Linked DNA regions of Lytechinus pictus. Each later gene encodes a partner of the first gene's protein in a complex. Links are inferred from orthologs where the notes say so. Each region holds a gene or a part of one and is shown on either strand. Other genes may lie near its edges.

What was found.
Region 2: the proteins of integrator complex subunit 2-like (region 1) and integrator complex subunit 7-like are in contact, whole or in part, in a cryo-EM structure (PDB 8RC4), measured with the Homo sapiens proteins. The link is inferred for Lytechinus pictus from reciprocal best matches to the Homo sapiens genes INTS2 and INTS7. Residues at the interface, in NP_065799.2 of Homo sapiens: Gln27, Lys28, Val29, Cys48, Arg51, Met52, Cys55, Ala56, Ala58, Asp59, Gln60, Ser61, Trp64, Phe92, His93, Ala186, Glu187, Pro189, Ile194, Val218, Asp220, Ser221, Asn223, Glu224, Ser259, Leu262, Lys263, Arg265, His285, Gly294; in NP_056249.1 of Homo sapiens: Leu38, Gly39, Glu40, Cys42, Glu43, Val46, Arg47, Asn77, Phe78, Leu81, Cys82, Leu84, Lys85, Gln88, Gln89, Asn114, Asp115, Pro116, Val117, Ala120, Ile121, Arg124, Val153, Glu156, Val159, Phe160, Ala163, Leu195, Lys196, Pro199.
Region 3: the proteins of integrator complex subunit 2-like (region 1) and integrator complex subunit 1-like are in contact, whole or in part, in a cryo-EM structure (PDB 8RC4), measured with the Homo sapiens proteins. The link is inferred for Lytechinus pictus from reciprocal best matches to the Homo sapiens genes INTS2 and INTS1. Residues at the interface, in NP_065799.2 of Homo sapiens: Pro40, Leu54, Lys69, Leu72, Arg73, Leu75, Ser76, Gly77, Val78, Glu79, Val81, Asn82, Val85, Gly125, Thr127, Leu128, Glu131, His132, Glu166, Val172, Tyr173, Glu176, Arg322, Gln325, Gln326, Arg329, Gly400, Lys402, Thr769, Met772; in NP_001073922.2 of Homo sapiens: Gly561, Ile562, Ala563, Trp564, Asp565, Lys566, Gly567, Ser982, His1055, Met1056, Thr1058, Pro1060, Glu1095, Arg1096, Thr1098, Ile1099, His1102, Leu1107, Arg1225, Ser1250, Phe1251, Gly1252, Ile1253, Tyr1285, His1288, Glu1291, Val1292, Gln1293, Glu1295, Arg1296.
Region 4: the proteins of integrator complex subunit 2-like (region 1) and integrator complex subunit 6-A-like are in contact, whole or in part, in a cryo-EM structure (PDB 8RBZ), measured with the Homo sapiens proteins. The link is inferred for Lytechinus pictus from reciprocal best matches to the Homo sapiens genes INTS2 and INTS6. Residues at the interface, in NP_065799.2 of Homo sapiens: Ile855, Asp856, Pro857, Leu858, His895, Arg923, Glu925, Leu926, Lys927, Ala929, Leu930, Ala932, Ala933, Gln934, Ser936, Ala937, Gln940, Ile941, Glu944, Asn1010, Lys1013, Leu1014, Phe1017, Gln1018, Gly1019, Tyr1020, Pro1021, Ile1046, Ala1047, Gln1048; in NP_036273.1 of Homo sapiens: Ile484, Val486, Arg487, Ser488, Arg489, Phe527, Gln528, Val529, Ala530, Leu531, Leu532, Asn533, Phe541, Arg542, Asn543, Ala544, Tyr545, Ile547, Arg549, Leu552, Leu553, Leu556, Met559, Arg560, Asn562, Leu563, Leu564, Lys565.

Annotation. Positions count from the first base shown.
Region 1 is NC_087246.1:9,593,118-9,600,963, forward strand, and holds the start of integrator complex subunit 2-like, read right to left. Parts: upstream 3,011-7,846; 5' UTR 2,908-3,010; coding exon 2,624-2,907; intron 1-2,623. Other genes in the region: probable thiopurine S-methyltransferase, read right to left, coding at 7,493-7,605. UniProt on the Homo sapiens protein: Component of the integrator complex, a multiprotein complex that terminates RNA polymerase II (Pol II) transcription in the promoter-proximal region of genes.
Region 2 is NC_087251.1:16,406,572-16,413,694, forward strand, and holds the start of integrator complex subunit 7-like, read right to left. Parts: upstream 3,012-7,123; coding exon 2,894-3,011; intron 87-2,893; coding exon 1-86. UniProt on the Homo sapiens protein: Component of the integrator complex, a multiprotein complex that terminates RNA polymerase II (Pol II) transcription in the promoter-proximal region of genes.
Region 3 is NC_087254.1:32,366,335-32,373,714, forward strand, and holds the start of integrator complex subunit 1-like, read right to left. Parts: upstream 3,014-7,380; 5' UTR 2,927-3,013; coding exon 2,881-2,926; intron 42-2,880; coding exon 1-41. UniProt on the Homo sapiens protein: Component of the integrator complex, a multiprotein complex that terminates RNA polymerase II (Pol II) transcription in the promoter-proximal region of genes.
Region 4 is NC_087260.1:11,488,283-11,495,290, forward strand, and holds the start of integrator complex subunit 6-A-like, read right to left. Parts: upstream 3,002-7,008; 5' UTR 2,823-3,001; coding exon 2,712-2,822; intron 2,499-2,711; coding exon 2,421-2,498; intron 833-2,420; coding exon 683-832; intron 1-682. UniProt on the Homo sapiens protein: Component of the integrator complex, a multiprotein complex that terminates RNA polymerase II (Pol II) transcription in the promoter-proximal region of genes.

The DNA.
Region 1 (7,846 bases):
TTAACATTTTCATGTTTGAGCGAGCACATTCAAAAACTTAGGAATGAATACTCTTTATACTGCATAAATGTATTCTTTTCTAACAATTTCTCATGATCAGTTTAATTTATGGACAAATCAGGGGTGGATCCAGAAATAAAAAATGGGGGAGGGCCCTATAATCGGGGGAGCCACCAACATTTTCAAATTTTAATATGACCAAACAAGTTGTAGAGGATACTTCCAAAAACCCCTATGATGATACGTCACAATACAGGGGCCGCGGAACGGTTTTCAAAGTTGGGGGGGGGGGGGGGCTGACCATGCAAAAAATCACAATCGTATGGTCATTTTTACATTTTTGTACATGCTTTTGGAAAAAAGTGGGGGGCCCCAGCTCCCCCCCACCCCCGCTTCTGCGGCCCCTGCAATATTGTGCTCACTCAACCATGAACATACGATATCAAAATTGTGTGTGGAGTGGCTAAATGATGGATAGTAAAACGGCATTAACACCATAAAATTCACCTAAATGACCTAACAACAACTTTTTCCCAACTTTGTATTTGCACAATCTGAAAAACGTCTCTTGTGACTTTCAAAAATGGTCATTTTTAATTCAATCTTTAATTACTCATGCATGACTCAACCGATCAATCTCATTTTTCCCTAGGAGTTGCTTAATGAGTGTAGAAAACCACCTAAGAAATATCATATCTCAAAATAATTCCGTTCGAAAGTTACAGCAATTTGATTTAGGGGGGACTTACTTTTTTTGTTGTGTAGGCTATACATTTAAATCTGCAATTGAGAGGCACTGGAAATCCCATCCATTAAAATATTAACCATATCAGAGACAACCAAACATGATGAGGGTCAAATAAGCTTCTAGCTTCATGTCTCTGCATCCAAGTAAATCCAAGTATTAAGGTTTGAGGAAAATCCATTAAAGATTAAGAAAGTTTTGGATATTTGACACAGGGTGCTACATAACTTTTTAGATGAACTTGCCCTGTTGGGCAAGTAAATTTTTAAATAGTTGGAATATACTTCCCCAAAAATCTATTTCACTTGCCCGAAAAAATCCTTGAAAAAAAGTTTTACTTCTTCAAAAGAAAATATTATGGTTTTAGAAACCATTGACCTTTTTTTTTCTCTTTTGACATGAACTGATGTACCTCGTTCTTGCATTTTTTAACAGAGTGATTTTATCTTGCCCGCCATGACCAAATTTAGGGTAATTTTGGTAATTCTACTGTGAGAATTTTGCTTGCCCAATTCGGGCAGTTTTGGTCTTTACTTCAAATCACTTGCCCCGGGCGATGGGGCAAGTGCTTATGTAGCACCCTGATTTGACATCATTATCAAGCAGCAGCCCTATGTTATTTTTTTTTTAAATATCCTCTTTATTGATCAATCATAAAATAAAGAAAGGTAATAAACATAAAACCCAGGCTATCAGTTCTTACCGAACACGATACAGGGTGGCAATATTAAGCATATTATACAACATAGACCAGTACGACAATACACCAGACAGTGGCCTGTATTGTTTCCAGAAGATAGATGACATAAACAATGGCATAAACATGAATATGCAAAAATAAACAAACATAAGGGTAAACATGCAAACAATGCCATGATTCTGCATACTTGGAAAAAAAAGATTTGGAGTCTGTTTACCTATTCAATGCGCATCATAATCTTTGCAAAGTAAATTGATTAATCATAAATTTAGTTAGCTAAAAAAAATTCCATTACATTTCTACAATGTGATGGTCATGCATGTTAATATAAAATGCATCAATTTCAATTTTTTAATGATATATCTTAATTTCTTTTTAGGAACAGTATACTGAAGCCTTAGGAGTAAAGGACAGTAAAAACCATTTTCAACTTTCTGAGAAAATGACATTTCATTGAATCGATTTTTTACCAAACGATTGTAGGAAAATTTCTCGAATTTTACGTCATCACGTCACAAATCAAATAATTAAAATTCTAATTACTTTTTTATTCGTTGATAGATTTTTCTCAAACCTGGCTTGCCTTGGCTTTGGCCTTTGGTGGTTTGGCAATATTAAATAAAAATTATATATTTTTTCTTAAACTTGTCAGCTGTTCAACTCAGGGCAGGGCATGGGCGAAGTCCCAGGGGGACCTGTCCCCCCTACTCAAAATAGTAGGGGGGACACAATATCAAATGTCCCCCCTACTCTTTGTGGTCTTTAAAAAAAAATTAATGATGGTAAGAAATACATCATTCAAAATCGAAATAAAACGTGTTTTAGGAGATGACTTTTTGGGGGGATGATAACCCTTTTTTTTTTTGCTTGTCAAAATTATTTTGGTCGAAATGACCTGAAATTGGGGGTGATAACTATTTTTTTTGGCTTGTCAAATCTATTTTTCGTCGAAATGACCTTAAATTTGGGGTGATAACCTTGTTTTTTTTGCTTGTCAAATTTTCCAGCCCCTGGCCTTGTCCCCCCTACCTAGTTTTGAGAGAGATTTCCGCCCCTGCCCCTGGGGGGGAACTTCCCCTTTTACTTTTACTTAGTACGATTATCAGTTTTGGTTTTAAAATCATTTCTAAAAAGGAGACTTTGTTAAAACGTATGGTCTAACTCTAAGTCTAACTCACCTCATCTTCGCTTCTTTCAAAGCATCTTGTTCAAGCGTACTGAAGTCGACGGACAGGAGTGCTACGATAGAGTTGACGACTTCCAGGCCGGAGAGAACACGTAGAAGCTTCTTGCGTCCCTGGACCCAATTGTTGCTGGTGTCCAAAGGAGCACAAAGCGACATGCGAACGAGACATGGCAGCAATACCCTCAGTTTATTCTCTCCTAGCTTCACGATGGCATCGATGTCGACATTCTGCATGGCCTGGAAGGCTTCAGGTGATACAACAGGTCTTGATAACATGATTTTGAAAGGTTATTTACCTTTTAAGCACACTATTGCTAAGTCTCAAGTTGAATTGGTCATATTCTAAGTCCTTGATTTTATTTTTCTGTGAAGTTATGGTGGTGTCGTTAATGAAAGTGGTAAAAAGGAAAAAAAGCCTCTTCTTCGGAGTGGCATACTTTGTCGCCAAATAATTTAATAAGCAAGAAACAGAAAGATGTACAATACAGAGAAAATGGAAATGATCAAAAGAAATAGAAAACAGATATATAAATGAACAGACAATATAAAATACATGAAAAAAAAAAGAAAATTGAATAGAACAAAGTCGGAACAAGGTAAGAAATAATGATATAAAGAATAATATATACTGTATATACCTCTTTCCGGATCGGAGCACATAGTTCTTGTCCGAAACTGACAGTGATCGAGAGTGTATGGTTTGCATAGCACCCTACTTACTTCCCTCCCTCGATGTCTCTCTCTCATCTGCAATCTTCATTCTCTTGCCCTCTCACTCTCTCATCCTACCACCATTTTCTTCCCTCCCTTGATAGCTCTTTCATCTGCAAACTCTTCCTCACTCTCTACTCTTTCACCATCTCATTCTCTCATCTGCCATAGCCTTCTTCGTTTATATATATTCCAGCCTCTCGAAGCCCCACCCCTCTCTCCCCTGCCATGCAAATAATTTGCCAAAAGGGTTAAGTGCAGAAGGCAAAAAAAATCTTAAAGGGCAATTCCATCCCAACAAAAATTAGATTTGAATAAAAAGAGGGAAAGCATAATTTTTATGCTGAAAATTTTGTGCAAATCGGGCATGAAATGGAAAAAGTTGTGATATTAACAAATTTTGCTCATTTTTCACAAACATGTTACACATATGCAAATGAGAGAAGATGTCACTCACTCACTAATTCTTTAATTTGCATTTTGTTGTTGAATTATACAAAATTTCATTTTGTGCAGACTTGGCAATACAAGATTATCAAAATCACAAAATTGGTAACACTACATGGCAATTCAACACTTCCAGGGAGGAATCAAATTAAACTCACATTAATTTAGAGAGAATTGAATTTTTCATATTCATATAGTAAAACACAAAGGAAATAGTGAGTAATGATGTCATCAATTCTCTATTTACATACCGGCGAGGTTGTGCAGACAAATGTTTTGTGAAATTAGGTGACTTTAATTTATTTGAATCTGATTTTGATGAAAATTTCAGATTTGTTTGTTGGATTTCTCTACATTTATTCAAATCAATATTTTATTGGGGTGCATGACTTACTTTCCTTTTAAAATTTACAAGTGAAATTTATTCAAGTGATTTTTAAAAATAGATTTTGACATAGCATTGACAAGATATTACATATCATCCCTTTTAATTCCCCCTCCTGTTTCCTTGTTTGTGGAATTTCTAATTTTAGGGGGGGGGGGTGGGTAAATTATTACCCCCATTGAAATGCCTCGTCTTATCTACCTCTTTCTCTATCATTTGCCACTTTTCATCCTCCCCTTTCCCTTGATTAATGTTTCATTTAAATTGTTATAAAAAAACAAGATACCAACTTACAAAAATATACTGCCAAAAAAATGCATTTGTTATTAATGTCAAGTTTTACAAGACAAATGAAAGCTCTTTAGTATCAGCCCAAAAGCGGTCACCATCTTAAATACGTCACTCTAAATTCATAGCCATAGCTACAGTCTCAGTTTGTTATGGCTGGGCAACAAGATAGCATGAATTCTTTTCTTCTATCCATCATTGCCAACAAAGTTTACTTTCTGCCCAATTAACAAGAACATAGGCAGTCAGAAGTGTCACAACTATACTGTTATAACTAATTTCCTGATTTTCATCTCCTCTCTTTTAGGACGTCTCTCAGAAGCACTTTCTATAATGGTGTTAAATCATTATTTGGTAAGCAAAACGATTAACTGTCATCATTTTCAAAAGGTAGATCACTTTAATCATAAGAAAATATATAAACCACTATACACATCTACATTATAATACTCCTAAATGGTTCATGAAAACTATTTGTCTTTTTTAGAGCATGTACACAATATTTCTGATACATTGAGTGCACAGATAAAATCGTTTTCAATTTTATGAAAAAATACAATTCGTGGACTTTGTCACATAATATATTATGGAGCTGCTAGCATATGATATCACAAAATTAAAACTTTAAAATCCATAAGTCTGACATTTTTATCACACAACTCTCAGTGAAAGCGCTTCAAAAACATTTGTAAACATACATACAACAATGTGATTTTTTTTACAGGGGTATCATCAAACACTCCAAGGTTACAGAAGTGTAGTGACTGTTGATAATTTATATTAATGTGAATTTTACAAATGAGAATGTCTAGCATCCTTTCTTTCTTATATGTTTCTTTTTCTTCATTACAAAAAGGCACACTTAACACTAACATATGTTTCATATCAATTTATTGATTGCATATCAGAACTTACAATTATATCATGTACTAGTTAATTTCAGCTAATTTCATGCTCAAAAAGTGGTTTTTATATAAGATCTCAAAAGAAATCAGTTTTTGTTTTGATAAAATGCCAGTAATTATTTCTCACATAAAGACTACTAAAATTCAAAATTCAATACATTTTCTTTGGATAAGAAGGGATAGTAATAGCTGTAACGATTTGACAGTTGACAAATAATATAAGCACATATTATCTCTAACTATCTTCATATTCAAGATACAAATTCCATTATAATTGTATTGCATGTAGACAACTATGTCTGTTGTGTGCAGTCCTAGCAGTGTAGCTTAAACAAAGTAAGAAATATAAGAGATGTTCATTTTTTCAAGATTATATGGAGCTAAATTAAGCACAAAAATAAGATAAGTTATAAAATAAAACCAAACTGACTCTGACATTATACTTTTAATACCCTACCCCTTTTTTAATTTTGCATTATTCTCACTTTTATATTTGACAATAATTGGGGAATGGGGATAGAGGAGTGTTCTCTTAGGCAGAGTTCTGCCATCAGATGTGAAAATGAAATTTACGAATCTTCCTGGATACATGTAAATGTAAATGCAACAAAGAAATTTGAATTCAGGAAGTAATTTTGCACCATAGATTATTTATAATTAAATTTATATGGAATATTATCATTTTGAATATTAGAAAGTCGAAAAGGGGCCTAAGCTTTCGATCCTAGCAGAATCTTCGTCGGAGGCAAAATGACAAACATATAAAGTGGAACAACCATAATATAGACCACAAACAAGCTACAGCAACACTAGAAACAAGGAGACAAAAGGGGCATTAGTGAGTAGAGAAGACCAATCAGGTTAGTGAAGGGGATGAAAGAAAAGGAGTAGGCAGACACAAAGGGAAGTTAGTGTAAGTAAGGCCAGTAAAAGACCTCAAGCCAAGAGGGATTAAAATAATGAGGCAAGCAACATCAAACAGGATCTGGAACAAAACAGTGATAATGGGATGATATTTATATACATATCACTTATAGATACATATTTACACTTACCTTCTTCTCTTAGTTTGTTTAATGCTTTATCATATATACTTTTATGTCTTTTGCACATTATCAGTTGTTCCCCATTCTTTTCCTTTCCCCCCCCCCACTCTTATGAACCAGTTTATTAAGCCTTTCTTTGTAACCTGTTTGACCCACCTCTCACTAATTCTCTTGTTTTTCATCCCATTATCACTGTTTTGTTCCAGATCCTGTTTGATGTTGCCTGCCTCATTATTTTAATCCCTCTTGGCTTGAGGTCTTTTACTGGCCTTACTTACACTAACTTCCCTTTGTGTCTGCCTACTCCTTTTCTTTCATCCCCTTCACTAACCTGATTGGTCTTCTCTACTCACTAATGCCCCTTTTGTCTCCTTGTTTCTAGTGTTGCTGTAGCTTGTTTGTGGTCTATATTATGGTTGTTCCACTTTATATGTTTGTCATTTTGCCTCCGACGAAGATTCTGCTAGGATCGAAAGCTTAGGCTCCTTTTTGACTTTCTAATTTACTCCATTGGCTCTCTTTTATTAGATAAGCAGTTTTCAGCAGCTTCTTTTTGCCATTTTGAATATTATCAGTTGTGTATCACAAATAAAGTGAAAGCTGTTTATTTTTTGCTATATAATTTCACACATCATGTATGTACAACTTAAACTGCTGTTATGCAAGACCTATTCCTATAGATGTAAAAATGAAATATTTAAAAAGCTTATAAATGTCTAATGATCAAATATCACAGATTTGAAATATACTACAAACATTATAATACATTTCCCATGCATTACTGATAATTTACATATTTGATATATCATGCAAGTAAATACATTGATTGGTAAATCACTTTGACAGAAAAAGAATGATAGACTACATTAATAAATTAATCATTAAATAAGTAAATTTAAATCACAAAATATAAGCAAAATGAATTAATACATAAATGCATAGAAAAATATAATAGAATGATACAAATTAATAAATTTATGAATATGTGCTTTATCTTCTTATCAATGAATAAAAGTCAACATTGACTCTTTGATTTGATAACAAATAACTTCGATGACAGAGTTTGGCTAAGAATGAAGTTATTTGAGGGTCATGATGCGTACATGCTGTCTCATCCATGTCAGCCCTTGGTCTTTGAAATGCTGGTTCATGTGATCATTGTCTGCTAAAAGCTCGATGGAAAATTTCTCTCCTTGAATGATGAGATGGGAGCACAAGATGCCAAGTACAGGATCGGAAAAATAATCAAAGAAAAGTAAAATAAACCACAAATACAAAAACACAATATTAACAAGCAAATATGTAACATTCACAATAAAAAATAAGTTCAGGCAGACTCAAAACATCAGAGAGCTAATATTCAACATGCATAAAGTAAACAGTTACACTTATAAATGTGACTTTTAATAACTCGATCCTAGCGTCTTCAATAC
Region 2 (7,123 bases), on another chromosome or scaffold:
TAGGATGGGGAAGGGATACTTCTCAAACAGTCTGGGAAACCGAACAATAGCTTCACACTGCTCCCCAGCTTTGCTGGAATGAAGACCTGAAAGAATAACAAATATGGAAAATTATTTCTGCTGAAATTTGAATTCAAGTAGCTGTTGCGGTTGTTAAGTTGTTGTTGATATTATTGTTCGTGTTGGGTTATTATCACACCCAAATTATATCATTCAGCGTGTTTCTACAGAGAATCGTTAAAAACGGTTTATCTTTTCCAGAATCGAAAAACCTTATCGCCCTTAAACCAACCCATCTCTTCAGAGCAATAATCAGATTAACTCATATTCCGCATCGCAAATAAACAGATTAACATGGCAATAACCACCTCCCAGAGGTGGTTTTAAGAAACTATATTTTGCGCGATGCAGTTTATCAATAAACTGCATTGCGTCTCTTTCTACAGGGAAGTTTTCCGGAATTCTTGATACTTATGAGGGTAATATTGTTCAACGATTCTCTGTAGAAACATGCCGTTTGGTATTCTCTCAGTGTAACAAGGTTGATGCGATGCCACATACAAGGCATTGTTAAATGTAAAGAATTCACATAACTCTGTATACAACCTTCTACAATTTAGCAGTCGTATGATAAAATGCATCTATAACAAAGTACAATGCCATTCCAGGAATTCACAGTGTGACAACCGTCTCCACTAAAGCCACCAAAGGGAAACAGAAATAGTGACCACTGTAGACAGGTTCTTTAACACACATTCTTTTCAATTCAGAGACAATTCTGTTAACTACCAAAGACAGGTTATCACTAAAGACAGGTTGCCACTAAGACAGGTAAACTGTAAATTGAATGACATTGTGGTAATGATCTAACAATGAGTTCAACATAATCCCCCAAAATGGCAATGGATGTGCCAAATGATTTTGGTGTTATTGCCAAGACATATGATGATGATGATGATGATGATGCACAGCATTTGTATAGCGCCATGTATCTGTCAAAGACATTCAAAGGCGCATTGGAGGAGCCAGCCAATCTGGGTCGCCTACAAGGGCGCGCACACAGAACTGTGACCCGCAGGTCTCTCCTCCCGATAACTGGGGGAATGCAGGTGGACCACTACACCGGGGTTTCCCCCTACTCTTATTCGAATAGTGCAGTGGGTTCTTAACGTGCAAAGGTGGTGATTCTCCTCTACACGGGGCCTCCATTTAACGTCCTATCCGAGGGACGGAGTGTTTTCCACTGTAACATAGCCTGCATCTATGAAACATGGGAGAGACGTTTACACACAACGCACTGGCTTCAGTCATCCGCCCGAGGTGGACTCGAACCCACGATCTTTGGTTCGACGGGCAGACGCGTTACTGACTGAGCCAACTTCGCTCTCATGCAACATATGCAAAAGAAACATGGCATACTTAAAAATATCTAAACAAGATTATGTACACTTTAATTTATATCTGTGTTATTCACCAGTAGCAGGCTTCTAAACTACACATTTGAGCACTCTGGTGAACAAAACATGAAAGCCAAATTTATAAAGAAATTTAATCAAGAATGCCTTTGAAAGTCTCATCTGCATTACACGATTCGATATAAACTGGGTTGCAAAAGAAACTTGTCAAACTTTTACAAGGACACTGTATAAATTCAACTCTGTCAAAATGAACAATATTTTTAACAGGCTATCTTCAATAATCTTTACTAAGCACATGTCAATTATTAGAAGAGATTGGGGTTCAATCACAGGGAGACTATAGCCCCTTACATCAATTGGTTTCTGAATCTAAAGTCACAAAAGAGCACAAAAAAAGGGCCAATAAAAATGAGATGGGATGAAACAAACTTCCCAATTTAGTTTAAGTGATTGACTCAATCACAAAGAAGCTACAGGAAGTTAACATCAAAATTTTAAATGACAGGAACAATCACACTTCTTTAGAACAATCATGCTTCTTTGGTCTCAACACGTGTCTGGCTTTTTGTGACATTTGAGAAAATTTCAGAATTTTTTTAATGTTACATCTGTAGCTAATAACCTCTTTGTATCTGTCTGTGGCTGTTCCAGTCAATCTGTGATTGAACCAATCTTTTAACTATTGACATGTGCTTTTAAAAGATTACTGAAGCTAACCTGGGTAAATATATTGTTCCATTTTGAATGAGTGGAGTTTGTACAATGCCCTTGTAAAAGTTTCTTTTGGTACCCAGTTTACATGTAGCAGCAGTGCTGACTCGGAAAACAACTGAGATATAATCACGAAAAACACTGTTAATAAAATACTCAGTTCATTGACCCTAAATGACCTTGATCATGTGACCTAAAACTTTTGCAAAATGATTGGTGATACTTGATTGCACTTATGTCAAAGCTCCATAAAAATAGGTCAATATACTTCTAAAGTTATGTCATTTCAAAAACTTAACTTTGGTTAAGATGTCAATGTTGAAACAAACAACATGGTCAAAGTCCATTGACCCTACATGACCTTTGACCTTAGTCATGTGAGCTGTAACTCATGTAAGATTATCAATCAGTGATACTTGATAATCCTTATGTCCAAGTTTCTAAACAAGATCCATATACTTTATGAGTGCATTTCAAAACCTTCGTTAAGATTAAGATTTCATTGTTGATGCCGCCGCTGCTCTCAGCAAACACATCGTGCTACATTATGCAGGCAAGAAAAAAAAAGCAGATTCTAATGTGTTAAGTCATCCATCAATCATTCATATTCTTTTACTTTGAGTCAAGATTTTGTGAAATTGGGTAAACTGCAGACTTGACACGGCCAGGTAAGTTTCTTATTCTTCTCCTTCTGTTCTGGCTCCCTCGTCATCTTCTTCTTAATCTTTGGCTTCTTCTTCGTCTACGTCTTCTCCTTCTTCTACATGTAGCATCTGTCTTCTGTAGGTCTAGTCTAGATCTACTTCTCTTTGTCTTCTTCATCTTCTTTGACTTTGCTTTCTCTTCTCTACCTCCTCCATCATCATCATCATCGTCATCCATAATCATCATCATTGATCATCATCATCATTCATCATCATCATCAATCTTTTTCTTCTTCTTCTCCAGACTGGTGGCACCTGCGCTAGCACCAGAATGTCTCAGAGAATAGACATGCAAAATAGAAAGGTGTTGTTCCTTTTGTTTTGGGCCTATATCACACCCTAGCTAGTCTCCTCAGTAGACACTTGGTGTTGAGAACTCAAAGGTCGAGAAACTGCTAACTCGCGTCTCTCAACAATTATGTACCTAGCAGCTAGTTACATAATTGTCAAGAGACTTGAGACGCGAGAGACATGACACTGCTTAATACCGATAAACATCATGGGCTGATTGCACGAAAGGGTCTTTCCAAGGACCGTCTTTCGTGTCACCCATCTTTTATGATAAGCTGTATGCGGGATATTTCTGAAATTAGGGTGGGCAATGGCACCAGATTTGTGCTGTAGACATGTGTCAAAAAAGTCAATGGGTGAATTTGCCTCAAATTTTCATTCTCTATTTTGAGTGCACAATGTAGTGAAATGTAGCAACATCTTCACATTTTCTGGTAGCCAAGTTGATTATCTATCAATGTAACACAGTGGCAAATCGTCCATAGACTGTGTGCAACGGATAGACCGTCTCAGCTCAGCGAATCGCAGACCGCTGATTGGTCAATCGCGCAGATCACATGACTACGTGGTGGCCAAAATAATTCCCTCGGACTGCGTGCGAAAGTATCGATAGCGATAACGATATCTGTTCACATTGTCTACGCGGGAAACGGTCTTGGTTTGCGATCGGATCGCTCCAGTATCGATCGAAAATTATCGAGACTCGGCAATTTCATGGATATTCACGCGACGCTCCGAAACCCGGAAATCAATTGACTTTGTGCACGTTGCGATAGACTCTACAAACTCCAACGAACACGATGCGATATCGACGCTAATTCGTAAGATTTTGACAGAAAAGCAAGAAGTAATCGAAATTCGCTTACCTGTGCGGTATCGTTGAGAAAATAGATCCTCCGAGAATACCTTTCATAATTCATATACATTATAGAGAAGTGAAATTCTTGGTCGATTTTGTACGAGGTGATAGAGAATTGCACACTTGTTTTGGTGGAATACTGTGTGGGGCTATGGAAGGCTTTCACTGCGCATGCTTACTATATTTTCATTCATAAATTGGCTCTCGGCAGTAGCTGGATGACGTCATGTAATAAGCAAAATATACATGCCCGCTAGCGTTAAACGCACCGCTATCCGTTCTATACAATTTGCCACTGTGTGTGACATGTTTCCATGGCAGCTCACATAGGCTCAAACAGTCTAGGTCAGCATAAAGACTTAAAAATGCCCATTTTCAGCCACTAGCCCACACAGTATAGCCTATGGGCACTCACACTATTGCGAGGTTAGTATATGCTATACGAACCTCGCACAACCAACGTGTTTTTGTAGTGGATTTTAGAGTTGTCGTTAACATCGCTTCATAACGTGAATGATGTTAGCCGAAACCCATTCCGCTACTCACCAGGGGTGGTATTCTGAAAACGTTCTTATCTTTGTTCTTATCTTTTATCTTATCTCATTGAGATAAGAAGAAGCTAAAATAATTGCAAATCGGTATTCTGAAAATCTTCTTATCTTTGTAAGGACTGCCTCCTTCTTATCTTCAACACGCCCATTTTTAGGATATTACCAATCAAAATGCGCTTTATATTGGCAGTTTAACCAATAGAAGCGTCCCTTATGTCAAGAGAATATCATGGGCGCTGCGCGTACACTGTTTCTGGCGCATTGCGCGAAATAGGCAATTTATACGCAATGACTGATTATTATTTTGAGACACGTGCATAAAATAAAGAAAGAAAGTAAAGAAAAAAGTAAATAAAGCAGGTACGAATATAAGGAATAAAATATGAAGAAAAGAAAGTAAGTAGGTAAGTAAGAAGACAGAAAAGTGTCAGAATGAAGGAGAAATTTAAAAAAAAAAGATGAAAGGAACAAAGCAGAAAATAATGAAAGAAATAAAGAGTAAACGAAAGTAAGCAAGCAAAAAAAAACAACTTAAAAATGAAAAAAATAAATAAAGAAAAAAGAATGAATAAAAGAAGGAAAAAGAAATAGAACGATTATCAATGATAAAGCGAGGAAGAAAAAATAAAGAAAGAAAAGAAATAACCTTAAAGGAAAAAAAGTAAAAGGAAAAAATAAAAAGATTAAGAAAGGATAAAATGAAGTAATAAAGAACCGAAAAAGAAAAAAGTTAGAAAAAACGAATGAAAGACAGTAAGAAAGAAAAGAAGGAATAAAAAATGTAAAAAGTGAAGGAAAAGAGAAAAAACAAAAATGAAACAAAGAAATAAAGATTAGAGAGAAAAAAATAAAGGATAATTAAAGCAAAAATAAAGACTACAGAAAGATAAAAGGAAAGAAAGGTAAATTCAAAGAAAGAAAAGGAACGAAAAGGAAAATTAAAAAGTCAGGAAAAGTGAAGAATGAATTTAAAAAAAAAACGAAAAATATTAATGGAAAGAATAAAGAAAAAGATTTTTAAATATTAATAGAAGAAAGATACAGGAAAGAAAGTAAGGAAAGAGAGCAAATAAAGAACGAACAAAAAAGAATGAGCGAAATAAAGAATAAAATAGAAGAAAGAAAGTAAATAAGACACAAGAGTGTCAGGAAGCAGAAATAAACAAAATGAAAGAAAGAACAAACGAACGAACGAAAACAGAAAAAAGAACCCAAAAATAAAAGGGAAAAAATAAAAGAAAGAAAAATAAATAAGGGAAGATACAAATTAAGGGAAGGAAGAAAGTAAGAAAAAGGGGGAAAAGGAAAAGCATGTAAAAAGACGAAAGAAAAACAAAATAAGGAAGAAAAAAAAAGAAAAAAAAAAGTGAAGGTAGAAAGAAAAAAAAAGGAAAGGATGAGAGAAAAGGGCAAAGAAAAAAAAGCACAAAGGGAAAATAAAAAAGGAAGAAAGATGAAGAATAAATGAAACAAAGCAAAAGAAAATTAAAGAAATTAAAAGATTCAAAAAGAATAAAACAAAAGATATAAATGAAGAATGAAAGAAAGGAAGAAAGACAGACAAATAAAAAGGAAGAAAAAAAGAAAATAAATAAAGAAAAAAGGGATAGAAAAAAAGAGACGGGCAAAATAAAGGGTGAATAAAAGAAAGGGTGGGATGAATACTTGTGGGTACTTGTTACTACTAGTGACCATCGAGTTTGAGCAAGAAAGAACGCGGACATCGTGATAACCCTCTAGCTATCTTAAATATTATCATAAATATCGTGAAAGATAAGAAAGAGAAAAGATAAGAACGTTTTCAGAATACCACTTATCTTCATTTTGTTCTTATCTTTTTAGCGCGCTTTTGTATTATATGCGCGAGTAATACATTTACGCGCTCAGCATAGGATGTTTAGCAAGATAAGAAAAAGATAAGAACAAAAGATAAGAAAAAGATAAGAACGTTTTCAGAATACCAATTTCAGATCGTGACGTAGATAAGAACAAAATTAAGATAAGAACGTTTTCAGAATACCGCCCCAGGGCTTTTTCTGGTAGAAAGCGTTCCATTATAAATTTTTAACATATTTTTTTAATTTAAAAAGGACACAAAAAAGAGCAAAATCGCTTACCTCCGCCTGGAAAGTGGCTTCGCACGTCTCTTCCACGGAAATAAAAGGAAGGTCGTTGGTGGCGCTAATACAGTTCGCAACCTTAATTCGGCTTGGTGGTATTTTTAAAACTAGATTCATTATTCATTGTATGCGCAATTCCAATAATTGTTTGATAAAATAGAGACCCCAATAAATGCAATAACTTAAAAAACATACTTTTTTATTATTTTTGCTGACGATAATACTTTTTGGAAAATATTCAAAACGATGACAAATTAAACAAAAAATATAGAAAATTCTATGTACCTTGAACAAAGCCCAGCAAGTGCTACCGTTCGTTTGTCAATTAACGTTCCACCAAAGTCTTTACAGTAAAAAGATTGAACACTTTGCCGACTTCGCGTAACGCTTTGCATCGATTTACGTGTAAGATAATTTCTGTGTCTAGTCTTTCAATTGTAGTGTCTTTGATATGAAGATAAATCGCGCG
Region 3 (7,380 bases), on another chromosome or scaffold:
TTTACTCCCCAGGGGGATGATCTTGTCGGGCAACGGTAGGCCTAGTTACAAAGCAAAATGAACATTAAAAAAGCTTTCTTAACAAGCAACTTTCACGTTTGAGCAAGTTACACTCTAGAGTAGTGGGGTGGGGTGGCAGCACCAGCCAGAATGGGGAGGGGGTACTTATCAATTAAACACCACCATACTTACTCTATCCCTCTTCCTTCTTTTAATTCTTCTGCCTTCATTTACTTTCAGTTTCAATCATTCTTTATTTTACTTTCCTTTTTTAGTTTTTTTCCCTTCTTTTACTTTTTCTTGCATATATTTTTTTGTCTCTATTTTTCTTTCTTTCTTTTTTCCAGTTTTCTATCTCTCTGTCTTTATTTCTTTCTTTCATTTTTTCTGCCTTCTTTTAATTTTTTTTCCATTCTTTTTTTCCCTTAGATTCATTCACTTGTTTATTTATTTTTTCTCCTTTTCTTTCTTCATTCTTTTATTGGTTCTTAATAGTAAGTCAAGAAGGGAGAAATAAAGTTATTTTTATCCTTTTTTAATTCTTTTCATTTCTTCCTTCTTTCAATTCACTTGACTTGAATTTAAGCTCCAGCTGGAGCATAACTCAACTTGTGTTCCTTTCTCATAGAGAAATGATACACAATAAGAAAAGAGATCTGATACGATCGTTTTAAGAATACTTTGACGTTTGAGCTATGGAGAGTGGCAGTGCTCCACTGATAGCGATGCCACATCATTTAAAATATTTACTGTTTACATATGTTGTGACCATTCATTTTGAAGCTTGTGACCTGCTCTTCGCAATAAGACTACGTTTTTTCTTAATTTATGCAAATAAGGCAAATATCTAATTAAATATGCACGCATATCATTAAAAATGTCTCTTGCTCATGCGGAATGTGTATTTGCCTTTGTAATTTCACCCATGCTAGTGATTTTGAGGCAATTAACCACCAAAATGTCAATTGGCCCATTCTTTGATTAAACCAATATAAACTATTAAAAAAACAGTGTTTCATATAGTTAAATATGCAAATTTAAAATGCCAAAGATCCTATATGTAAATGAGGGTGTGATGCAATGATACGCATATTGTAAACCTACATGTATGTTAAAAATATTTCTATTCAAACTACATGTATGATGTAATTAACCACCAACAATATGTCAAGTGGCCCATTCCTTGATTAAAAACTAGTATAATATATAATTCAAACAAGATACATGTATTAAAATATGCAAATTTAAATGCATATGCAAATGAGATGACGCAATATACATGTAGTATACATATTGTATATTTTACAATGATGTTTGTTCTTGTGTATGGTCCATTTCATTACAAATAAATTGGATACAAGTATAATCAATGATATGATGTTCAATTGCACAAGAACAAATTCATAGAATATTATCTTCTACAAAAAATAGTAAATATGCAAATGAGATAAATATGTAATTAACAAGTCAAGAGCAGAGGTACTTGCCCAGCTGCATCCATTATTACCCTCAAAAAATTTATGCCAGGGGCCGGTAGGGTTGGACAAAGGTCAAGGTAGCTAAAAAAAAATAAGGTCATGATAGGGGGAGGGGCCAGTAATGTTGGACGACTGAAAGGTAGCTAGAAAAAAAAAATTAGGTCGGGATGGGGGGGCATGGACCGGTGAGGTTGGACGAGTAAAGGTAGCCAAAAAAATGGGGTCGGGGCAAGGGCCAGTAATGTTTGGGGTACGTGTAACATAGGGCCCCCCCCCCCCAAGAAAAAAAAATTGGGTCGGGTGAGTAATGGCAATTATGGGTGAGGGGGCGGGTTGTAATGCCACGCAGGGGCCTGGGGCAAATTATGGAAGGGGTAAACAAAGATCTATAGTAAATTGGGCAAAAAAAAGATGGGGTCTTGGGCCATAATCAGGATTTAAAAGGGCAACAAAGGTCCATCAATATCTGTTACATAATCACCAAAAACCAATCACCCCTACTCAACAAACTACAGTATCCGCATTGACCCTAAATTTTCCAGATTGAGGACAGTGCAAGCCCCAGTCTTTCCCGCTGGCGGTATTTCGCGGTTTACTAATTGGTAACAAGTTTGGCATCATTACAAAGCTTAGAATTCAAAGAATCTTATGATGCTGGGATTTTTTTGGTTTTTCATGTGTAGGGGTACGATAAAGGGGTCAAAACATTCATGTCATCATCAAATCACCATATCAACAAAATCTCAACATATCATTATCATGATATCAAAATGCAAAAAAAAAAAAATCGGATTTTTTAGACATAATTTCAGAGCAAAAGTACTAAGCTAACGATTCAATTTGCCACAAACACTGGTGTAAGTCAAAATCTTGTGTGTCACATGATTATGACAGGAGCAGTACTTTCCACTTCGGGCTTCTGCGATTCAAAATGGTCGCGCGCATCGTCCGATCAGGCAGGTTTCAATGACACATTTCAAGTGCAAAATATCTGGCGATTCTAACCTCAAATCAGAATGTAAAGTGAGAATTTCGTATTTTAATTTGATAATCTGCGGATATTTGTGGGTCAGAGTGTTACTGAATGAATATTTAAAGACTGGAAAAGAGTTTTCTGAGACCATGTTTTACACGGGGGCAGAGCATACCGATGCAAACGCGCGGCCGGTTTGGCATCGCTACAGCACTGATTCGCGCCGCACTTCTCGGTTTTACTTTAGATCTCTTGCCTCTTGGACGTGGACGGTACACCCGCTGCTAATGCAGTGCATCTTCATTGTTCCCGCTTTACCACGTCCACGCACGCGTTGCCCACGACGGTAGTTCAATAAATCAGGATATAAAATGACAAATAAATAACATAAAATAGACGATTTCTGTATAATTGTACGATATTTATTACCTCGCCGAATCGGGGGCTTCTTAGGGGGCAGTTTCCCCCTCTCCATATGTTAACAGATTCCTTTAAATTTGTGGAAAATCACAGAGTTTCACATGCTGTCTTCTCGAACAGAACTCTCAATTTACGAATGGGTACAGTATCCTCAAATGAAAAAGGTACATGGAAAAAATAACAACCCAGACTCGACTGGGCCAGGCCAGAGCCAGCTTTGGTATTGCAGACAAGAGTCGGAGATGCCCCGGGAGATGCACAATCGCCTGTATCGGAGAACGTATTTTTTAACGAATTTTTGAAGTGTTTAGTTAATGAATTTTGATGTTTCCTTGCCTTGTCCCACGGTGGGTTCAAAATTTGTAGTTTTCAAGCCATCTTGGATTGATTTTCATTTTTTTACCCAGGCCAGACTGTGGAAATATTGTAAATGAATTAAGTTTCGCTATGATTTTGAAAGTATAAATTGTTTTAAATAGTTTTCTTAACAGTCAGGTGATAGATTTCGATAAAAAGGGGAAAATTTGAGCCAAAATGTCCATGTTTTTGGTCAAAACTTTGTTATTTGTTTTATCATGAACATCAGCAACCGAATGGACAATCAGTTTTCGACAAACGAGATTCATATTGACACGCTTCATGACATAACAGTATATAAATTGCTTAGATGGAGGGCAAATGCGTCAGTAGACCCCTTATTACTCGTTATTGTGCTAAAATGAACCCCCAATAATTGATCAACCTTTTCGTTGTAGTCACACCAATGAAACCAACGAGATCGTTGGTATACAATTCAAGAACATAGCTTGGATCAGGGGCAGATCCAGCATTTTCCAAAAGGGGGGGGGGTCACATTTTCTCGAGGGAAAATTTGTTATACGCAAAAGAAAAGGGGGTTTTTAACCACTAAAACTTAATGATATTTCGTCGCCGAAAAATTTTTACAAGCAAAAAAAAAAAAAAAAAAAAAAAAAAAGGCCTTCACTTTCGAAGGGGGGGGGGCACACTTTTGTTTTAATGCCATTTTTAGATTAAAAAAAATAATTTTGCTTCTCAAAGTCCGCCAGTGGCTTGGATAAGTAAAGCAACTTTTTATAATTTTTATAAAACCTCTTGAAAAACTTGAAGGAGATATTGCTATATGCAGGTTACATGGAAATAAGTTTTGGTATCTCACAGCTGGCTCACAGCCTAACGTGACAGGAGCCGGGCCGGCCTGTCGAAGGTATCCTACCCCTACTTTGACTCTATTATAGTGATTTGGGGCAGTGACAAAACGGCATTTCTACTATGTACATCTCAAAACCACTTTAACTATCCTCCTAGAAAAGATAAAAGAAACATTGCTCTAAATTAAAGATTAAGGGCGTAGGCTGGAGTGCATTGGGTGGTCGAGCACTCTCCCTCTGAGGCAGAGGAGTTCCGACACTGGCAAGCAAAACAATTGTTTTACCCCTTCTGCTTTCAACAGCTGAATTTCCAACCTTTAGTCCCCCCCCCCCCCCCGGTTCCACCTCACTATGCTCAAACCAGCCTACGCCCTTGAAGATTCAGTGCTCGAATAACAGTTTTGGCAAATTAAAGCCTGTACCCCAACTGGGCTTCAATATTATTTACTGCGCACCCCTATCCGAATTTTGACTCTGTTGAAAAATATCGTATTTGGATAACCCCCAATTATGACAAAATGAATCTCCTATATTGTTTTTTGGGGCCAATACAGTTCTTTCTTATAATTCACGATACCATATCATCATGATTTTTAACCTTTCTTCTCTGTCGTGGATGTTTTTGAGCGTGGGTAATATAATAATAATGTCAGTTCAACGTATATACGCCACGAGTTAAGCGTGCGTCATTGTAAAGAAAATCATATTAAGCTATGTAAAGAGGATGATTTTTATTAACCGTGTATTAAGTAGATTGGAAAACATCCTACCATTGGTGCTTGGTTGTGTTGTGAAATATTTTCTTGGTGATCATGTGATAAACTAAATTTTTGATGTGGCTGTATATATAACTGAGCAATGTGCAAAATGTTGATACAACCGCCGTGACAATAACTTTAGATCGACACCGAGTGGGAGTTTATCAGTCACTTTTATTTGCCGCTCTGGGGTGTTGGTAAGAATGTTCATTACAACTAACTATTTTAACTATTAATTTACACAGTAACTTATGTTTGAATAACATTAGAGTTGGATGAAAATTATGTTGTGCTAAAATCCACAAACATTCACGATTTGAAATTATATTTAATACGATATTTGAAAAAGCCATCCTGTTACCTTTAAGGATGTAATTAAGCTTCGATTTTGTTTATTACTTTGTTGCATGGGCGTCAATCTATTCGCTTGTTTGGAGATAATATAGATGGCGATCGAGTCATAAAAAGATAAAAAGACGTTCATCACCAAATATACTCTTAAAAATGTTGGGCAAAACAAGGCCCAATTTTTAACCATCACTGGGCAACATACTGTCCACACAACTATTGGTTAAAATCTGTCCAAATTGGGTAATAAAAACTAACAATTGGGTAATAAATTGCTCAATTGGATAATAATTGCCCAGAATATATATATATATATTTACCAACATACATTACCCAACACAGTGGACAGTATATGTTGCCCACCATAGTGTACGCTATAATCATATTATGCACTATACTGCCCAAACCTTGAGCCACCTCCTGATGAAAAACACAAGCCTTTTTGTATATTCCACGGGCGTAAATCCCCGGGGGGGGGGGGGTGATGGGGATACAACCCCCACATTCCGGAGAGGGGGTGGCATGCAGTCACAGTCTTCCCCCTCCCCACTTTTCAAAACAGAAACGATTTTTTTTTTTTAAATCATCAAGTGATTAATACTACTGTTAATGTGTGGATTCATCTTTAAATGTGACCAAAGTGCTTATTTGCCCAGTTTTGCATTCTAAAAATGCCAATTTCTCGCGCGGTTGCTATGCTCCCGCGCTCAATCTAATCTTACAATATTTTGGCCATGACAAATCCATACGTTTAGCATATTGCAAATGTTATATCCCCTGCATCATGAGAGTATATATGCATATGAATTTTATGATTCAAATGATTTTTTGATATGGTTATAACTGATCATAAACCAATCAAAACATCCTTTGAATACACTGGCGTGAATGTTGGGGAAGTCATACCAGTCTAGCATATTTGGAAGCGGGGGATAATTTATACAAAAATACAGGCATACTCTATACTTAAGTTAAGTGTACGATGAGTTACTGCTGACTAACCAAATCAATGTCGTTTATGAAACACGGAGGCAAGTTAGGACACCGATTTTTAAAAAAAAAACCTTACAATTTCATCCGTTTATAGGAGACTTAAAATCACATTAATTCCATAACAATTTGATATATATTTCAAATATTAATTTCATTCCAAATTTTGAATGTTGCATCATCTTCCAATATAATCTTAAAGACTATTCAAAATCTTTCTTTTCAGCAATATGTTTCTTTTACTCTATGTTGTTACCACTTGCATATCTGAGGGGGAAGGGGGTGAGGGCTACGTGCAGTATCCATGCTGATGGAGTCCCCCCCCCCCCCCCCCCAAAAAAAAAAAAAAAAAAAAAAACGCCAAAAGAATAGTGAAAAGTGTACAATTAATTCCAAACCAGATGTTTTTTTTTCTTGCTCAATTTCGCTAAGTGCATGGCATCCTTGAAGTTTCTACAAAAAAGGTTCTCCTAATGACATTATATGACGCTAAAATTGCCATCAAATCGAACTAGCTAGTCACGAATTTTGTAAGGTAGAAAGGAGTTTTGAAATATTATTCGTGTGGTTGCTAACTTTTGTTCCAGGAGACGCACCTTAAAAGGCACTTCAATATACAGACAGTGTTATCGTAAAATTAAAACCCCTTCAATATTCAAAACCATTAGAAGCTTCAAGCATGCATGGTGCATGGATGTCGTCAAAGGAGACTAAAATATTAGTGTACACTGAAGCAGTATATCATCAAGATGACGGTCATAAAATTATTTGAGATTTGGTGGTGATGACAATGCTAATGGTGTAGTAGTAGTATAAGTGGTAGTAGTATTAGAAATATATAGTAGTAGTAATAGTAGTAATAATATAATAGTAGTAGTAGTAGTGGTAGTAGTAGTATAGTAGTAGTAGTAGTAGTAGTAGTAGTAGTAGTAGTAGTAGTAGTAGTAGTAGTATACAAGTACTAGGGTTAATGATGTGATGATGATGATGATTAAGATGACAGCAACAATGATAATAACCATATGCGGCTATCCCGCGAAGCCCCCCTCCCCACGAAATTAATATAGACGTACAAAACTCGCCAATCAAAATGCGAGCGCACAGCGCTGACAATCAGACCTGAAAAGGGATATTTTGAGAACTTTATGGAATACACGAAGAGAATAGATACTTGACAAATCAAATAATGCTAGTGCGCATGATATCCAGTGATCACAAAGATAAAATTTTACTTATTCATTTAT
Region 4 (7,008 bases), on another chromosome or scaffold:
TATTTTACCGTGTATATTAAAAAATGTCAAATGCTGATGCGCGCTTTTGTCACAGTGCGCCAAATTGATGCCTGTTGCCGTGGTTATCCACGCTATTTTATTCATGAGTCCACTCTTCAAACAGTGGACTCATGAATAAAATAGTGTATCTAACAATGTTAACAGGCGTCAATTGGCGCACTGTGACAAAAGCGCGCATCAGCATCGGACATTTTTTTTAACACGCTAAATTAAGCGTAATTTATACAGGAAATCTGCATAAGCCATGGATTCAACCATGGGTTTTAAAAACCACCTTTTTGAATTCGGGCCAATGAGAGCTTCAAAGAATGAGAACACTAGGTCTGAAGTTTGGGATTCACTCAAGCATGAGATGTGCACATTGTGCAATTTAAGTGAAACTTCCAAGCAGTCCGAAGAATAAATGGTGTCAAAGAAAGCTAAGAAACTCTTGTATCTCGTCTTATTTACTTGTGCAAAAGGAGAATTACTCTTTCAGAGAGAAGTTAATTCTGAAATTTCAACATTTTGAAGAACAAATTGTTTTTACTGAGAACCTTTCCTGGCCACGTATTAATGGTTTGGGGGTGTGTGGCTGATCACAATTGTTTGAGAACCAAGGTTTCGTTACAAAAAATCCTGGCACTTGGCCACCAGGCAACTTTGAAAACAGCTTTAATACCTGGCCATAGTTGTCAATTCCAGAGTAGAGACGGTTGACATTCAGAAGGTCAAAGGTCATCTTGAGGGCATGACCCAAGTTTGTGAGACCGGTGGCCTGAAGGTTCTTCAGCTCAGTCATGAAGACTGCAGGATTCTCCTTCCAGCCAGCCTAAATTATCATAAAAATAACATTAAAAATCATTAGGTGTAAATAATTGCCCATGCCTGCATTGAAAGGGAAAGTTTAGCCTGACAAAAAGTTTATTGCAAAAATAGAAGAAAAGAATAAAAATAAAAAAAATATTGGCAAAGGTTTGAGAAAAATCCACCTAAGATTAATATTACAATTTTTTGGGATTTGGGACATCGTAGTATGCAAGGCTTTGCAAGCAGCTTCCCCATTTAAAATGTAATAAAAGAAAAATCTATGAAATGTCATTTTCTAAAAAAAAAAGAGAAAAAGAATGAAAATGTTTTTGGAATTTCTGTATATCACCAAATAAATTATTTCTGGGATAGCGTTGAAGCTGCTGAAATGGATTACTCTTCAAGGTTCACACCCAATCCTGATGGAATTAAAAAAAACAGTAATCATGAACCATTATTTAAAAAAAGGAGCAAAATTACGCATTTTATAGCAAATAACGTATTGGGCTCCTGCTTTTATGATTTCACAAATAAAAAACTTAAAAATTCTAATATTTTTCTTATAAATCTTCGGATTTCCCTCAAACCCTTTACCAGTATTTATTTTTTCTGCTTTTTTACAATAAACTTTCGTCAGGGTGAACTTCCCCTATTTCAGGATCTTAAATTCTATATTTAAAAAAAAATGTCTTTCCTTCATGGTTCGATCAGTGGTGAAGAAAACTATTATAGCTATTACTCCTAACATTAGGGCTTATTCCCACTTACCATATCGATGCGCCCCCACACAAATAAAATCACTTTCAATTTGAGAAAAAAATCACACAAAAAAACATAACTTTGTCATTTTTTTCACAATCCTTCACCATTATTTTTATCTCTTTCTTTTGCTCTCAAAAGTTATAAATAAAATCAACTTTTTGAAAAGAACATGCATACCATACGTACCCTATGGCTATGCCATGGCTCTAACTTCTAAGACTATGACTATGGTTGAATGTTGATTGTGTTGATAGATTGATTCTCAAATGTTTGGGATTTTTGTCACATTTGGCTACCCATACATGTAAATAAAACCACAACTAAAAGTGAAAAACTAACACAAATTTATTTATTGATCATATTAATATATATAGAAACTTTTAAACATTACCTCAAAACATTTCTGTTCAATTCTTCTTAATTTATTTTATAATTTCCTAAAAAGCGCCTTGAGCACTCTACAGAGTGGATTTGGCGCGATATAAGTCTAATTATTATTATTATTAAATATTATTATATGGCAGGTATACTCATTGAATCCACAAGTGTCTGCATGCATTGTCTCATTAATGTCTGCTAACTTCAGCTCAGCTCATGAATATTGATCGTTGTTGATCTTTTATGATCGATATCCTGACGTGACCCACAATTTTAGTCTGAAACAAGATGGACGTTTGTGTGGAGGAAGTACATCTGGTGCTAAGTTTCATGCAATATTTTGCGAATCTACCACCCAGAACGACATGAACCCAACATTATTTCGTGGGGGAAGTGTTGAAGAATCGCGATCTCGCAAATAAATGACTATAATTTATGACAAACGAGAAAAATCAAGGACCTTATAGTACCTTTATTGTAGCCGGGGACTCATCGCACGTCACCAGCATGTAGCGATCCGTGCGGCTGGCTTGGTCTCGAAGGCGAAGCTAACGTTACAACATGAGAAAAACAAAAGAATTTCACAGTATGAATGTTTAAAATGAACAACAATACATCTAAAAAAAATTAGTATGATCATTTAATAATATCAACAACAGCATCATATATCGTAAGCAACCCAATCTATCATTCTTTCGTAAAAAGAAAGTCACTGAACTTCATAAAAAAAAATCGATCACCCAAAATGCATTGCAGTTTACCTTCATGAATGTCTCGACAGCTCCCTTTGCAATATCCAAGAGTGATGTGCCCAAATGTGTCCTCTGATTCATCGAAGCACTGGTGTCTATTAGAAAAACTAGCACCGGCATCTTGTTCCTTATTAATTTATCTATCTCTCATGCCAAAACTGTGTAGAAATATCGCCTACGAGGCCCAAAATAAGAGATTTGATTCCCTTTCCTCCTTTTTGGCAGCTTCGCGAGAGCTGCCGATTTTAGCAGCAGCGAAAACCCATCGCGCAAAAAATAAATGTACGGAAAATTATCGCAGCGCAGCCCTAGTCACGTGACAACTTGGTGATTGGTCAACGTCATAGAGATGTATACTAGTAACGCTAGAGGGCGTACTTCGTCAAATCGCTGTGATTACGTGGAGACCGTCCGCCATTGCTCGATAGGTATTCGCAGCCTGCCATGAGCGTACAGTACCTATGGGGCATGTACACGGATGAGCACAGAACATGACAAATTGATGACATATGAGCACGAAAGCATATGGAAAAGCAAAATTGTAAATATTGCACTGGATTAAAGTTCAAATACAACAAAAATCTAGCAAAACTGAGGTCAAAAGGCCTATATAGGCCTATCTATAGCGCATAATATAGGCCGATACAGCTATAATACAGGCAAACGATTTAAAGTCCCAATTGTTTTTGCTTAGGTAAAATTTCGATACATTAATATGACTTCTATTTTCTAATGATTTGGAAGAGATGAATATCAAAAATAACATTTAGGCCTAGGTCCTGATAAATAAATTTAATGTGTTTTAATATGATTTGATGTACATTAACCTAAGAAAATTCATAGGCCATATCACAGTGTCTGATGCATCTGAGACGCTGTATCGAAAAAAAAACCACGATTGTATTTTTATAGTTCATAGTTTCACTATTATGCTGATTGCTGATAATTTATTTCTTCACTTTAGATAATTGTTATAATTCATTTTCCATATATATCTACACAATAGGGCCTATAATAACTCGATCCCTTTTCCCCATGTCTTACACGCTGATGTAAACCAACATCACAAAAACTCGCGAATCATAAAATGACTTTTTATTGATATTTGGAAATGATTTACGCATTGATTCAGTTAAAAATTGATGATTTAGATTTCCTTTGCTGGCAACCATCCCATCATATTTATAAATATGTATATAAAAGTATACTTTCTTACTTGCGATCAATGTATAGAAAAGTTTGTTGACAGCAAAATTTGCATATCAAATGCGCGCATGCAGTCGTACAATTTTGCAATGTACAGGAGGCCTAATGGGGGGTTGGATGTTTATGTACAGTGTTATTGCCTTGCAAACATTTTAAAACTTCGGAGAGTAAACAAATCACAATGCGCAAAACAATTTTACTTTGATTTTCTGGAAAGTATAGACTTGATTCTCCCCGGCTGAAAATACGCTGATCGGCAAACTGGCTGAAATATTTTGTTTATCGCCGTTGTTTCTGATCCTATATATAATGATTGGACCAATATCATGTGAACAAATCAAGGATAGAATAATAAGGAGAGGAAGAAGGGGGAGAAGGAGAGAAGAAAAGGGGCGGGATTATGATATATAATTTGTATTATACTATAAAGAATATTATTACTACTGCAAGAGTGTATAAAACTAATATCATGAAAGACATCAATGCAAACTTATCATAATTATGAAAACGGTTGCAAAATTGTGAGTACTAAAACCAAACATAATTATGAAACAATAATATTGCAAAAGTGACAATACTTGGAATAAGATATTAAAAATCCTAATTTAATCTCAAATTTGATACCTGCCTTGAAATTGTGTTAATTAACTGTGTCTGTGTCGCTTGAATAAATGAACTTTATGGCAAATATTTGTAAGCACTGGCACCGGCCTAACATATAAACAGATAAACACGCGTTTTGAATATCCAGTTTTGTTTTTCATTTTAAAAGTATAACTGAATTTGATTTTCTAGTTTTCTTCCTTTAATGTCATTTGCTGGCCTATGGACCTGAGTTTGGTTATTCGATCAGTTTTTTTTAAATAAGATTTCCATGGATGAACAAAATTATTATATTATGTTAATTACGGCGTCGCGGAATGATTTTGAAAGTGATGGGGTGCATAAAATCACAATCATTTATTATGTGTAATGTTCATTTTCATTTCAGGGAGGGGTCCGGTCGCGCCCCCTGTATTTTATTTTGATCAGTATGTTAAAGCGAATTTGCTTAGGTGTGTTTGTTATTTTAATTGCACACACGGCCCCTAAAAAGCGAATTAAAACAAATCTAACTTAAAGTGAAGGGAATTAAAACTGTCATTTTTGAAAAGTTTGAACAAATTAGGCTATATTCTCGACATTTTAAATCAATATTTTATTTTCGGGCCATATAGGCCTGCAGATTTGGGGGAATTTATTATGTTCCTATAAGAACAAAATCAGCACGTTCACCAAATAACACAAATTTCAACATTGATGGTGTAACGGGAGGCTCACCAAGAACAATAATGAGATGCCCTTTAATAGCGCATGTAGATCAAAACACTAACTTATACAGAATTATTGTACAACTTAATATATAAAAATGATAGGCCTATATTTCATACAAATTAAAGCAAGTTACATATCATGTAGGCCTATATAGAAATTACAAAATTATATCCAACATAAACATAGAATCAAAGGACGTAAATGTGGGAAGGATGGAAGGAGGACGATGCAGTTAAAGGTAGGGAAATCCAGAGAAGGGCTAATTCACTGCAGTCTTTTGAATTAATTGTCAATCTTTCTATTAATGTCCGCTGTATGTTTTTATTTTTATATGATTGTTTATATGATAGTATATCAACATTGTTATCTATTACAGGCCTATAAACGGACAGGTAAATGCAAATTATTTAGAATTTCATCCCGAGAAATCAGGTTTTTAAAATGCCAAATTAATAGCATAATCCCCATGTAATCACTCTAATAGTGTATTGAGATGCAATTTGTCATTCATATTTTCGATTTTTATGAGGTTGTGTTCTTTTCTTCAAGAAAAAGGCCGGAGACGGCACCCCTTTTCACAGCGTTACAACGCACGAGCTATGGGTACATCCGGGTACTTTTGCGAATCTATACCTATCGAGCAATGGCCGCCACGCTCCACACAATCACAGACGTTAAGTACGCGCGCCTATGGCGACTCCGCACTCTAGCGTAGTTAGTATACATCTCTATGGTCAACGTCAATCTCTCTAGTTTGCATATGATTACAATAAGAAAAGACGTTACTAAAAATACATGTACTGTACTACCGCAAGCGAAGAAAATAATAAACATCATTGAATTTGCAAGATAGCTTGCTTGACAAAAACAGAACAAGTATACTCGCTACACCCACAGCTGAGCTCGAATTAAGAAAGGGAAGGCCATTAATACTAGTATAGGGAAAGGGAAGGAGGTATGCTCCCTCAGTGCTCCCCTCACGAGGATCGGGGGGGGGGGGGGGGGGGGGGGTCGCGACCTGGCCATTAAAATGGCATATCAATTTTATATACGTAATTAGTATTTTTGTTATGGGACACGTGCACTAGATAACCGTAAGGCAACGTATATTCTTTTCAGGGGCATACAATATTCTTGTTTTGGCGTAAATTCTACCAATAAGCATGAGAAGGGCGGGCCATATATGCATTATAATTATAATACCTTAAATAGGGACCGATATTGCCTATGAATGAGAGAAGATTTAAAAAGGTGCATGGGGGCGTTTGCCCCCTCCCCAATTCAGGAGTGTTCCTCAGTATGTTGCCTCACCGGCCCAGACAATTAAAAAATTGAAAAAAAAATAATAATGCTGCCGCAATACTCAAGCTGTAAAGTGTTCCACTAATAAACAGCATTTTAATTCTAACAATTTTCATCCACCCGCTCTCTCGCCAAGTCAGGCTGTCGTCACTGTCGTTGCAGAGAGCTCGGAAAGTTGTATAATATTAATGTACAAACTGACCACTAGCGTACCTACGGGAAAAATCCTAGGTACGCCACTGAAACTGACCATGTAAAAGTCCAGTCGATGCACCCAAGAAAAATGTCGATTTGAATTAGTAGAGAAAAATCAAACAAGGCAGCGTAATAACGGAAATTTCATCGCCATCGGATGTCTAATAAGAAAGTTATGATATTCTCTGAAGTTTTGCTTATTTTTCAGAAAAAAATTACATGCATTATTCAGTGATATCTAAATCGATGATGTTCCCCACTCACTATTTCTTTGTCAGTTTTTATTGTT